Lonchura striata: one gene and its partner. The protein of the gene in region 1 interacts with the protein of each later gene in a pairwise test. Links are inferred from orthologs where the notes say so. Each region holds a gene or a part of one and is shown on either strand. Other genes may lie near its edges.

Region 1 (7,072 bases):
TTTCTAACATATGTGTACCTATGGAATGACAGACACCTGCGAAAACACCATCAACTTATATTTTATGGATAATCTGAGGAAAAAAAATTAAGACTTTTCCTTCAGTGCTCTGACACTTAAGAGTGGTGTGAATAATTACCTTGATATATCCCAAGGGAGACAAGACAGTCATGAAAAAAATGCTCCATGGATCATCAAATGCCAAGTCAGACAGAAAATTTGTGATTTTTGAATTCACCTCCTGTAAGCTGAATACATCACAATTACTCACATTGCACCAGTTGGCTTGGACAGAATTTATAGGAACTTTGCAGAACAAAGACCTCAGAAATTTCTTTCTGTTCAGTTTCTCATTCAAGCAGTTTAACCCACACACAGATCTGACACATCTGACAAAATTAAAGGAGGTTATATACACCTGAAGGTAGAGTTTAAGCCTATGCCAGACTCAAGATGTGTTATAAAAACCTGATTGTTAGGACTTCAGAATTCCAGCCTAGTTTGGAAAACTCAGTGGCAGATTGTGCCTAACAAGCTTGCACCAATTCCCTTAAAACATGCTGAATTTCCAATAACTTTCATATCAAAATGAACATGCTAACAAAAAAAAAAACAGCAGCCCAAAATTTTTGCATGTTTAGAAAAAAGATATTCTGCATTCTGTCACCACATAGCAGCAGCTAACTGGTATAAATAATCTCTAAGTTAGTCCCCTGTTAGTTAGGCTACGTTAGTCTTCACCCTCTAGTAGCAATAGTGTTAAACCATCTCCCAGGCAGTGATTCACATCAGTCTGCCCAAAACAGACCATGCTGAGACCCAGCAAGTTTGCAATAAACTCATAAAGCAAGTTCTTTAATACCACTCACCCTATAACATACATATCCATGGTGGGGCCCGTCGAGTTGAGCTGAAGTAAACCCGTGACATCAGGAGGGGGAGAAGCTGTGCCCACATTCCAGGTAACTAAGTGTAGTCTAAAAACAAACAGAAACCACAAAAATACAGTGCTAAAATTGAAATGGGGACAGGCAACCAACTCTAAGAACATTCTAATTTCCCCACAGAACTTCTATCTCTTTCCATCAACCAGAAATCCATTTTGCCAGGCCCCGACACCACCACGAAAACAACCAACTGGAGGCAGCAAAACCTGAATTCTTGCCGCTTATCCTTCAGCTTTTTCCCCCAGATGAGGAAAGCTTCATCCAGGGTGCGAGACACTTCTTCGTGGATCTCGTCATCCGAGCTGATGTCCTCCACGCAGGCCATCAGCTGGGCCACCCTGTGGCGGAGCTGCAGGCGGCCGCTGGAGCCGGTGCTGCTGAGGCTGGCCGAGCGGCTGCGGAGGCTGGCCCCGCTCTCCGGCTCGCTCAGGGAGAGCCCCTCGCAGTGCTGAAATGCGTCCTCGCTGCTCGAGGCCATCTGCTCTCCAAGCTGGAGCTACGCCCTGAAGGACCGGCCAGTTAAAATCAAGAGATTGAAAAGGGATTTCCAGATCTTGTGGGATTCAGCATTGCTTCCAACACAAAAGGATAAATGTAGGTGCAGCAATGCTGGGGGAAAAAAAAAAATACCTGTGGTGTTCCCAGCGCACTCGCTGGGTTGTTACAAAAACTGCAATCGCGGTGTACCACACGCAGTGAATTGTTTTTTTCATAATAGATTTAATGTGGTTAATTCGACGAGCTCAGGGTTTAAAAGAATTTATTGTCGGTTTGAATGGATCATGTGCCTGTCTGCAGGCAAGGAGAAATGTAATCTCCAGCTCCAAAACATGCAAAGTTCTGATCAGAACCAAGCAAAGCCACTGACTCAACATTCACATCACAGCATTGTTTCTTTACAAAGTGGTTATTTCAGTAACAGAGCTTCTAAAAAGAGATTCATTTTATTGTCAGTTGTGTTACACAACAGACAGGCTTAAAAAATAATAAATTGTTAATTTTCCATCATCTTAGAGTTCTATCATGACCTTATAAACACTGATAATTAGTGAATCCCATCAAGTACCCATTATTAAGGCTGTGTTTTTATCCCACAATCAACTGCCTGCTCAAGGTGATGTGCACAGAAATGTGCACAGAAAAGCAGGAAAACAACCTTCCACAATAGATTAAAGTGATACATAATTTCCCTCACTAATAATGTATCTTTGTAAGACTGTGCTGAAGTCACACAAAAGCTCTCCAAAACAAATTTCTAGGGGGAAAAAAAGTAGGTAGGCTGCAGATCTAATTTTGCCACCGGAGATGTATCACTGGGGAACGCTCTCCAGTTACTAATTTTGTAAGACAATTACCTGATTAAACAAAACTGAAATCATGTTGGAAGACATCAGTCATTACAGACAGAAATTCAGTTCTTCAAGGTGCCCAGTGACCACAGTACTGACAAAAAACACAGATCTCGGAGGTAGAAACAAACACTGTCCTAAATACCAGCAACCTACTAAAGTCGTTATTTAGCATCACCGCTGCTAATCCTCAAGTGACTCAATAGCGGAGAAATTTCTCAGGGTCACAGTGCTCATAGTAAAGCCTCCAAAGGATTTTTAAGATATTTGAGCTCATGACAGCTCGTTAGTTTGGCTGTTTCAATTTTCCTGTCACAGGCTGTTACCCAAATCCCATCTAAGCAGGTTTCTGTAGGGAATCGAGCCCAGACGGGACACCGACAGAGAGCGAAGACACATCGTTAAAACACCGTAAAAGCAGAAGCTCAGTGTTTACTCAAGCTTTTTCTTCCTCGTGGAAAGTGACAAGTTCGAGACATGACAGAAGTGCCCTCATCACACACAAACAGAGCTCCGGGGAATCCCAACACCCAGAAATGCCCCCTAAGCTCCCTGAACCACTCCAGTACCGACCTTCCAAACCAGAAAATCAGCTTTTCTCCTCTATTTCATATGACTACGCAACGCCGCCAATTTGTTTAATTCTGCGCTGAATAAGCGCGCACACACAAGTTTCGCTAATTTACGCAAGCGCTTGGGGGCCACTCTTCGGAGCCGCCGCCCTCAGCCCCGCGCCCACTCCCTCACCTCAACTCCTTGGTGGGAAGGCCCGCGGGCTCCATGCCGCGGGTTCCCGCAGGGAAGCGCTGCCCAGGGACGGGGAAGGGACGGGGAAGGGCCGGCGGAGCCCCCGGCGCTCCCCTCGCTCGGCCCGGCCCGGCCCGGCCCGGCGCCGCCTCCGCGCCGCCCTCAGCGCCAGCGGCGCGCGTGAGGGGGCGGGCACGGCCGCGCCCCCCCTGGCGGCCGGGAGGACCCACGGCAGCCTTTAGGATGATGGCACCGAGGCCTCCCCCCAAAAAAAAACCCCAAAAAAAGGAGGCGGAAGCGACAGGCTCTGTCTAGTATTTTATTAGATTTCGTTTCCAATATGCCTGTATTGGAAGATTTAGGAGACAAAAAAGGCACAAACTCACATTTAAAGAAACGACGAGATAATCTAACCCATTCTACGAAGTGTGTGTCGCCAAAGGAAAAGAGCGCGGAGAACCCCTCGGGACGTGGCGGGATGAACCCAGAGGGCTGCGGGATATGAGGGGCGAGCGGCCCTGTCAGCAAACCAGCCTGAGCCAGGCTGGGCCGAGGGGGCTGCCCCTGGAGCCCCAAACCCAGCGGGCCTGGATGGCAGTGGCGATCCCAGCGCATCCAGCCGCTCAGGATGGGATCCCGCCGGGAGCCGGCAGATCCGGGGGTTCTCGCCAAAGCTGATGGAAGATACGGCACGGGAACGCTGCGTGATCTTTGCTATGCTCACTAGCAGGAACCAAGCGTCGAGACTGAAGGGTCTTTACAGGATTTGTCTATCCAAAGGCTGAGGGATGTTTTCACTTAGGATCAAATTGGAAGGACGGAAAACAAAGGGCAGGGAGCAGAGGGGGAGTATTCAGGATGAAGGTCCTGCAGTTCCCCCCCTCCCCCCGCCTCCCTCCAAGTTTTTCCACTAATCAGGAAAGCTTTGTGTAAAAGCTCTTACTCTGAAATCAGAGGATCAAAAAAAGGATTGCAATGGTGGAATGTTACAATCTGCTTCCACGGCGATTAGTGTCATCAGATGGAAAGCCTCTTGGATAACACAAACTGAAAGAACAAGTGTGCTATGTGTATTCTCAGGTTGCCCTCAAGTGTAAGAATCCCTCAAAACATAGCCAACAAACATGAACAGGAGTCAGTGCATAAATTCTCTGTTAAAAATACTTCAAACTGAAAGGACTCTAACTGGGGCCTACACTCCTAGAATACTTCTGGAACAGCTATACAACATGTCATGAAACATCCTGGTCCCAAATAGCCTCAAAGATTAAAATTTAGTTTCTTTACCTATTTTACAATAAACTTGTTTTACTTCTGCCTGGTGAGATTGCTAAAACCCCTCAAACCCCACCCCAACCCCGCAGAACCGTCTGAGGTCACTGAGAAGAGCCTGCCAGAGTTACTGGTACAATTCAGAGCTTATTGCACTTAGACATGAGTAAGGCAAAATAACAAACTAAAAATAAAGGGATAAACTGCCCCCTCCCCAGAAACCAATGCCATCCTCTCCCTCCAGAGCATTCCCGTCTTCTCTCACACTGAAAACAGCTCTGATCCCAGCACAGCTTTGTTCAGCAGGGCATGGGATCATTTCAGGATCTCCTGCTTGCACGAGTGGGAAGGGCTGGAGGAGTCAGTGTATTGCAGAATGCTAAAAAGACTCCTCAAAAGTGGTGATACACCCACGAGTGTTTGGCATTCAGAGTTTCACATTAGTGCTGCCAAACACAGAAGTGGAAAATAAAGTTATTACCGTAATAAATAAAAAGGTCTTTGTTCATCAAAACGAGTGTTAAAGGAGAGAAAAGTTTGAACTGAGTAGGGAATGCAACTAGCATAGAAGACTGTGTAACTAATTATGTACAAGTTAACTTTTAGGCCAAGGACAATCTGCAAGGAAGATGAGAAGCCTTCATTCCTATGACCACCAAGGGCAGAAAAAAAGACCCCCCAGCGACCAATTGCACCGGTGCATTGAGAGAAAATATGTCAACTGGGAGAAAAAAGGGACTATAAAAACAAAAAGGTCAAAGGGGGAAGGTGCGCCATGGCAGAGCAGAAGCTCCCCAGCCGCCCAGCGCTGTTCTTTTGGTTAATACCGCTTGCTTAATAAATTCTTGTTAATTAATTTATCTATAATTAGCCTCCCCAATCGAATTTGTCCACAACAACTACTACTAGGGGAGGGAAAAAAAATCAAGCATTGGGCCTTGGGGATAAGCAAAGAAGTAGGATTTTTTTTTCCTCATATGTATTGAAGAAAGCAGCATTTCCTTGATTCTGTTCTGCTGAGTTGATTGTCTAAAGCTGATACCAACATAAGGATAGTTACAGTAAATACTTCAGTTCATTACATAACGAGAGCTCTTTACATTAACAGTATCCTCTATGATTTATAATAACCAACAGATATCCTAGAAAACTGCAGGTCTTTATAAGTATTTTTTCTTACAGCACAAAAGGAGATACTTTAGTCAGTCTTGCAATGGGAAGAATATTATTGCTGAGCAGAACCACCACCCCAGGCACCTGGATATAACCAGATGCCAACACCTCTCTTGCACACCAGCCTTTGCAACATTCCAATTTGTCCAGGGAGAATCACATCGTTATTATTAGTCAAAACCATTCTAGCTTTATAAGTTATGGGAAGTCTTAATAAAGAACCAGGAAGTTGCAACATGTGTCAAGAAAGATTCTGTAAGACTGACACACACAGCTGGAGGACAACAGAGCTACATGGGCCAGAGAGACCCTTAAAATGGAAAATCAACAGGTAAGTGCTGAATGCCCCAGTACAGGGCCTGACTGTAGCTTCTGGACAGTCTTTAATTCATGTTTGTTAAGACAGAACAAAGTAATGCCCTGCAGAAGCCACAAATCCCAACTCACCACAAACCAAGAACCCACTGGCTGCTCCTCATTTTGTACTCAGGTTACCTGCCGTTAAATATCTCCCTCTGGGAGCAAGGGTGAGAGCAGAACATTTTGTGGAAGAGTTTTGCACTTTTAAATATGGACTATTTTCCTCTCCAAACAGACATTCAAAGAACATTGAAGAACTGGGCAGAAACAAAGGTGGCAGCTTATCCCACTTGGAAAAAAAAAACCAAAAAACAAACCAAAACAAAAAAATTCTAAGTCACCACATCACAAGACTATTTGAGCTAAAAATGTCACTTGGAAATCAAACAGGGCCACATGGAAATTGGTCTGAACACAATGAAAAAAAGAGGAGGGAGGAGTTGTAAATACAGCGATCTCTAAGTCACACGCCCCGAGGAGGGAACTCCTTGGGATACACGTGCTAACACTGGAGTGCTTAGTACCAGACTGTCTATTTGCTCACAATATTAAGGGGCATCTAGAATTAGCTATGGGAGGTTTAAAATCGCCTGCCAGTTGGACAGAGAAAGGCTTGATCCAGAGATGGTCCGTCAGTCGAGGGTGTGGATTCCCTGGGCCTTCCTGATGACTGTCTTGCAAACTGAAACAAAGAGACAACAGGGAAACGTTTCAGGATGGCTTTGGAAGAGCAGTGTGCCAAGGGAGGTGTCAGACAACCTTGAGAGAGCAAATGTGAGTCACGCCGTCGCCAGGCAGACAATGCAGGGTTACACTGCAGCACTGATCCGCAGGAAATGGGAGAGAAGAAAATCAAGTGGTTGAAGCTGCATTCAAAAATTAAAATATTTCTATCAAAAGACACTCCCTCTTCTCCTCGTGTTCCCCACATACCACCAAATAACCAGGAGATAACAGAGGGCAAACAGAAGTAAACAGTGAGTACTCCAGGAAGATGTGGTTCTGCCCCACCCCATTCCTTCCAAGGATGGCATTTTACTGCCCTAATAACCTGTTCTTGCTAATATAAATGGACAATCCCTTCTTTCTCCTTGCTTTCTTACCTCTCTAACACTATACAACATTTTTGCAGTGTCTAAGAAAAATTTGGCAAAACCAGCCCTCAGACTGATGACATATTTAACAGAATAGAAAGAAAACAAGTCAAAAGCTTTAAAATGGTCA
Region 2 (6,283 bases), on another chromosome or scaffold:
TAAATCTCTCTTCCGCAACAATTTTACCTCTGTGTCCCGCTCCAGTTTTGCCTGCTGGTTTTCCTGCTATAGGGAGCCTTTCAAGGACTACAGGTTTTCCTTCCAGATAGTTATTTTGTAACTTCACCTAAGAGAGCCTATGTGTAACATGACAGAGGCAGTGTCAGAAAATAGCCATATTAAAACTCAGGAGGAGATTGTACATATCCAGCCTTTACCAGTTCAGCAAGCATACAGCATGGAAGTTTTACTCCCAACACATTAATTCATCCCATGTCACAGATCAGGTCCCTAAAGAATCGCTGGACCTGTGTGCAACTGTTCCTTAAAGAGGATTTGCCTTCAACAGCTCAGGAAATATGGACAATAGAAGAGCGCAGCAAGATACAGGAAGGCAGTAGACACCATGAAGACAAAAAAATTCAGACAGACATGGTTCAAAAATACATGGTTACATTTGCTAAAATTAACACCTAAAGAAAAAAGGTAATCAGTATTCCAATTAAATATTTCCAATTAAATTTCTACAGAAACCATTCATTCACTAAAGCCTTTGAGGGTCACTGGTGCTTGGAACCAGACGTAGTCCTCCCAAGCAGGTACTGTGTGCTGTGGAGGTGAGGCACTAACATGGAGGTCTCCATCACAGGACAACTTAACAGTCAGCTTCCTCCCTCGGGTCGGCACTTGGTAGTTGAGCTTGGGCCGGAACCACTCAACACCACAGTCACGGTGGCCCTGGACCAGGACAAGAGTGACTGTGACAGGGAGAGCCTTAAGTTCACTAAAGACGTCAGCAACAAACAGGCGGTGAAAGAGCTGGCGAACACAGGGCGCAGTCTCAAGGCTCTCTTCAGCAGAGCCCTCACAGAACCCTTCCAAATTCAGCTCATAGAGCTCCTTGGGGTTGATGACATTGCCTCCAAGTAGGAAAAGAACCCGAGGAACTAGCGTCAGACTAAACATGACTTCCAGGTGCTGGAACAATCCCTCCAGCTCCATCAGCAGCTGCTGGCACTTTCTGCTTGCCAGGCCCAGGGAATGTGGTTTCCCAATTCCAACTCCATCCTGGAAGACAAAAACTCATATTAACACAGTTAGTTATGAACATGTATTATATGCTGCAGAAAGCATGGCCCATCCCAGAGAGTCAAGGAACAAGCAGCTTGTGTTCATTTTGAGAGCTACAGGTACCCACATGGGGAGGATGCACATCTCTCCGCATCACGAAATGGCAAGAGGAACACGAAAGCACAATCCATAGCTACTCAGCTGGAATCTGAATCGCCCTACTAATTAATTCCAATAGGAATTAGAAGCCCATCTTTCAAAGATCAGCCATCTCTCTGAAAACATTTAATAGTATTTTTGTTTGGTTTTTTGCTTAGAGGTAACAAACAAGGCAGTGACACGCTTTGAGCGGAAAGTATGAAACAATCAACTGAGAGCAATTTGTCGGCACCTTCAGCAGCCTGAACTTAACGCTGCCTTTGCCTCGTTTTGAAAAGAAGAGGCAAAGGCATTTAGGGATGCAGCCACAACAAGCGCTTTACTTTAAAGGCACCGACACGTTGCTGTACGAGTCCCCGAGCGAGAACAGAAGCTCGCAAGCAAAATCCAAACGCCGCGGCCCACCCAGTCCCCCGGCCCGGGGTTGACCCGCGGTCGCCGCCCCTCACCTGGGCCGCCCGCCGGCAGAAGAAGGCGAGCTGCTCGTAGGGCAGCGGGAGCTGGTTCCGCTGGTGCAGGACGTGCTTCAGGAGCTCGCAGGCGAAGCGGCAGCCGCTGCCCCGGCACACAGCTCCCGGGAAGGCCACGGCCACGGCGGGGCCGCCCGGCACCGAGGCGTCCCCCTGGGGCCCCATCGCGCCGCGGCCCAGGCCCGCCAGCCCGGGAGCGCGGAGCGAGCGAGCGCCCCAACGGCCGCCGCGTTTGAATGCCGCCGCCGCCGAGCCTCACGGGAAGGGCGCACGGACCGCACCGCGCGCCCTCTGGCGGCGACGCCACCAAGTTTGGCGGGCGTGGCAGGGGCGGAGGTCTCCGCGTAGCCCCGCCCCTCCGTTCCCAACCCGATCCCGGCCCGGGGCCCCTCGGTTGAGGCCGTGCCGGGACCTGGGCTGTGCTTCTTTCAAGGCTATCCGCAGGAGGCGGCTCCGCTCTCCTCAGCCCCGCTCCCGGCAGCTCTGGCGGCTCCGCTGTCTTGCGGAAGAGCCGCCTTCGCGGTGCCGCGGGGTGGCGGAGGCGGGGAGCTTGCAGGGAGTGCCGTGTTTGGAAACATTGTGCCCGCCGCCCCATTGGGTGCCGCCTCCAGCGCATGGCGAGTGGAGGGCGGGATGGTGAGAGGAGCTTTTCTGAGACTGCTTTACAGGAACCGCGGCCACCTGTGTCAGTTCTACACCGACAGTGATCCAGGGTCGCTCTCCCCAGGGCATGCGGCGAGGAAAGAGAAGGCGCAGTGGCCGTGGAACTGGAGATTGGGAATACACTTAGTGAGGGGATGCGGCGCACAGCTACAGGTTCTTTTGCTGTTCCGGCCGCCCTCCGCGTTGGATCTTAACGTGGGCTTTGGGATCGCTCTGTGTCGGGCTGCTGCCTCTGCGTAGTCATGAGATACCTCCAAGGCCAAACAGCTTCGAAAGTGCCTAAGTTTACTGAATCCAGAATGACTGATCGTTCGATATCAATAACTAGGGAACCCGGGGCTGTGAACTGACAAATGGATAACCCACGGGCGTCCGCAGATCCCGGCAGCGGGGCCCGGGGAGCGGCGGTATCCCGCACGTTGTCGACCGGGGCCGACAGGCGGCGCCCTCTCCGTTGGACTCCAGCTCCCATCAGCCCCCGCAGGTAGAACCCATACGGGACCGAGCAAGTCGCGCCGCGGGGCACGCCGGGAGATGTAGTTTTGAGCAGGAGGCGCGCAGCGCGTTCTTGGCGTCGTAGGCGGGCGGGACTCGCTTTCCCGGGGCGCCGCGCGGCTGTCTGTGACGCCGGGGCCGGAGCCGGGCCGGCGGGGCTGGGCGGGGAGCGGAGCGGACGCTGCAGCGGGGCGGCGGGGCCGCGGTGTCCACCATGGACTCCCGGGTGTCAGAGCTGTTCGGGGGCTGCTGTCGGCCGGCGGGCGGCGGGGCAGGTGCTACGCTGCGCGGGCGCGGGGGGGCTGCGCCTGGCGGCGGCGGCGGCTCGAAGACGAAGAAGAAGAACGGGCGGAGCCGCGGAGGGAAGGCCAACAACCCCCCGTTCCTGCCGCCCGAGGTGAGCTCCGGCGGCCGCCGCGTCCCGTCAGCCGCGGAGGGAGCGAGACCAGGCCCGGGGGCGGGAGGGGCCGGAGGGCCGGTGCCCCCCAGAGCGGGTCGGTACCTCGGCCGGACCCCGCTGGCTGGGTCTGGCTGGAGGTGCCGGCGGTGCTGGTGCGGGCCTGTGCCGGGGTCGGGCTGACAGCAGCCGCACGGCCCCGGGAGCCGTGTGCCCGCCTGCCCGGGCTCTCCTCCGGGCCGTGCTCGCGCACCCGGTGCCAGCGAGCTCCCTGCGGGGTCCGCCGGACCCTGCCCGTGAGTGGTATCGCACTGCTTGGCGTCTGTCTGCGGGCGCTTTGCCGCCTCCCATCGAAAAGCTTCGAAAATAAAGCTTTGCTCGCCTCGTACTTCCAAGCATCTCATTTGCATCTCTCCCCGAGAGGCGATCTGCTCTGCTGGGTCTGAGCCCCTTTACAGGTGACTCCCCAGCTAATTTGACAGCTGTTTCCTTGCACAGGGCTGCAGATGGTATGGACAGGGGGTAGGGCACTTGTCTCTTGCAGCAGGAAGAAGTGGCATTGGTAGTAGCGTGGATGTGTGCTCAGCTGGGGCAGTTGTCACCGCTTTCATAGAACTGTCACTGTGGGGGGAATTACATTGGTTCAGACTCCATTGCTCGGCCCCTGTCAGTGAACTTTCTGTAAAATATATAATAGCCTGTGCTGGGAGCAAGCAATTCCTCCACAAGACAGACCTGGTACTCTTGGGAAGATGTGAAAACAGTACTTTGCTAGTGTTAGATCTTCTCCACGGGCAGGACTGTGCCCTGCAGCCGCAGTTGTTCCTTTCAGCTGGAGGCTGGAGAGTCTCTTGTGGTTTCAACTCAGCTTCCTGTTTCTGGCTACCCTGTGCAGTGTGTGCCCCAGCAAGTCTAGGCTCGTTGCTTTTCTAGTCTCAAGAGCCTTGGAGAAGACCCACTCCCTTATTTAGACGACAGTGCAGTAGGTGAATGGGTTTTGCTTAGAACTGGTAGATGGCAAGAAGGGAAAACCTGCTACAAGTACCTTTTTCTCATGGCATAGCTCTGCAGCCAGAGAACTGAGCTGACAATTGAGAACTTCTGTTGGCCTTTTGCCACTGTAAGTGCCACTGTGGTTAAGAGCTGAGCTGGAAGGCAAGGATAGGGCTGTTGCCTCTCCTGACATGCAAATAGGTGTCCAGAGGAAAAGGAAGTGCCTACTGTTGCCAGCCCCATTTAGTCTGACAGAGTATATGGCTTCCTACAGGCTCCAGCCCTTTCTTATTGGTCCTTATAGTGAATCACTGGGAAAAAAATACTTAAATATTGTATATCTAATTTTAAAATTAGATACAATTCTCTTTGGTAAGCTGGAGCCTGTTTTGGTTGAATTGAGTTTGATGAGTACCCAGACCTTTCTGTTACAACCCCATCTAGCCTTCCCTGAGAAAGTACTTCTGAACATATTGGGTACAGACAGTCCCAATCAGGTCTGGCTCTCCAGAACTTTGGCCAGTGACTAGCTAGCAAATGAGTCATTACCATGCTTCTTTATGTCTGTAGTCCTTCCTTGTAGAGAGAAGATACATAAGGATGTAGAAGGGAGTCAATGAAAAAATTAATTGAGTGAGGGAGAGTATCATTGAGCAGGAGAGGAAGCAGAAGCTTTTGTTCTCAGGCCCTTTTTCTGTGCACATTGGATGGATGGAAGCTGCTGGATAGGGTGGGAGTGGGATGCTGTGGGTGGCATTTTGTGGGTCACAGATGGGTGAGGGGTGACACTGTAAGTCATATGCTGGCCTGTACCTTTTTGAAACTGGAACTTTCTCTCTGACTGTTAGGCTGGCCCTATTCTTTACTGTTTAGAAAAAAATTTCCCCCCTGGACAGTACTACCCTTGTACCCCACTCTAGTTTTGTCCTTTGGTGTTCATGATATGGGATACAAACAGCACAAACAAATCATTTGGAAAGTTCTAGTTGAGTGTTGGAAAGAATGGCAGAAAGCTGGGATTAACACAGTCATTTTCTGCCACTTTCCCTCTCTTTGAAATCTTCAGCACCAGCTTCAGAATATATGGGCAGCTGGTGCCTGTAGAAGTCCCTGTGGGCACAGCATCTAACTCTTCTGTCTTGTTTCATTCTCTGACCAGGCAGAAGATGGGAACATCGAGTACAAGGTGAGTCTTTTGAGGTTGCAGAAGGAGGTCTTCCTGCCAGAGGGTTATTTTGCAGTGATTAACTTCACCAAAGACAGCCTATGGGTAACATGGCCAAGGAAAGGATGGAAGAGTGGACACTGCACTAAGGAACTACCATTCATCTTTTGTGTCTCTGTGCCAAGCTTTAACCAGTCTGCTGAGCTGGTAAAGCTGGATCTCAGTACTGATTTTTAGGAATCTCTTCTAGCATGTGATGCCTACTGTATTTTTCTTGAGAGAGAGATGCAGATATTGCTGAAAATTATTTGCCACTTTCTTGTGGCTGCTCTGTCATTTGCACTTATTGGCTCCTGGATCACAGATTGGTCCCAGAGTGCTGTCTTTAATCCTGCAGCAGCCAGGGTACAAATCCCTATGTCAGGATGCAGGAGAGTTCTTCTACCATATATTTGTACCTTTGTGAAACCCCTTCTCACCTGTTCCATGGCTTCTGTTCAGACACTAATACAGGCTGTGCTTTCTAGAGGTGTATCAGAGTTGGGAACATTGCTTCACAAAATTGGGCAATGGGATTGCTTCTCCATCCAGGCTGTGACTAGAACTACCCTTCTGTTCAACAGCTAAAGCTGGTGAACCCCTCGCAGTATCGCTTTGAGCACCTAGTGACACAGTTGAAGTGGCGACTGCAGGAGGGCCGCGGTGAGGCCGTCTATCAGATCGGCGTGGAGGACAATGGGCTGCTGGTGGGCCTCTCAGAGGAGGAGATGCGAGCCTCACTCAAGACGCTGCGCCGCATGGCAGAGAAGTACGTGCTCCCTTTTGTCTGCAGGGCCCAAAGCATGATTCCCTGGAGTCCCCTGAGCAGCT

Evidence for each region. The genes of interacting proteins can lie anywhere in the genome.
Region 2: the proteins of INPP5K (region 1) and MAD2L1BP interact in binary tests that used the Homo sapiens proteins (3 or more experiments, as listed by UniProt). The link is inferred for Lonchura striata from reciprocal best matches to the Homo sapiens genes INPP5K and MAD2L1BP.

Annotation. Positions count from the first base shown.
Region 1 is NC_134622.1:6,839,202-6,846,273, forward strand, and holds the start of INPP5K (inositol polyphosphate 5-phosphatase K), read right to left. Parts: upstream 3,025-7,072; 5' UTR 1,426-3,024; coding exon 1,154-1,425; intron 978-1,153; coding exon 870-977; intron 249-869; coding exon 140-248; intron 1-139. UniProt on the Homo sapiens protein: Inositol 5-phosphatase which acts on inositol 1,4,5-trisphosphate, inositol 1,3,4,5-tetrakisphosphate, phosphatidylinositol 4,5-bisphosphate and phosphatidylinositol 3,4,5-trisphosphate.
Region 2 is NC_134605.1:36,066,891-36,073,173, reverse strand, and holds MAD2L1BP (MAD2L1-binding protein), read right to left. Parts: upstream 1,866-6,283; coding exon 1,680-1,865; intron 1,069-1,679; coding exon 538-1,068; 3' UTR 525-537; downstream 1-524. Other genes in the region: GTPBP2 (GTP-binding protein 2), read left to right, coding at 3,073-3,255, 5,408-5,434, 6,037-6,221. UniProt on the Homo sapiens protein: May function to silence the spindle checkpoint and allow mitosis to proceed through anaphase by binding MAD2L1 after it has become dissociated from the MAD2L1-CDC20 complex.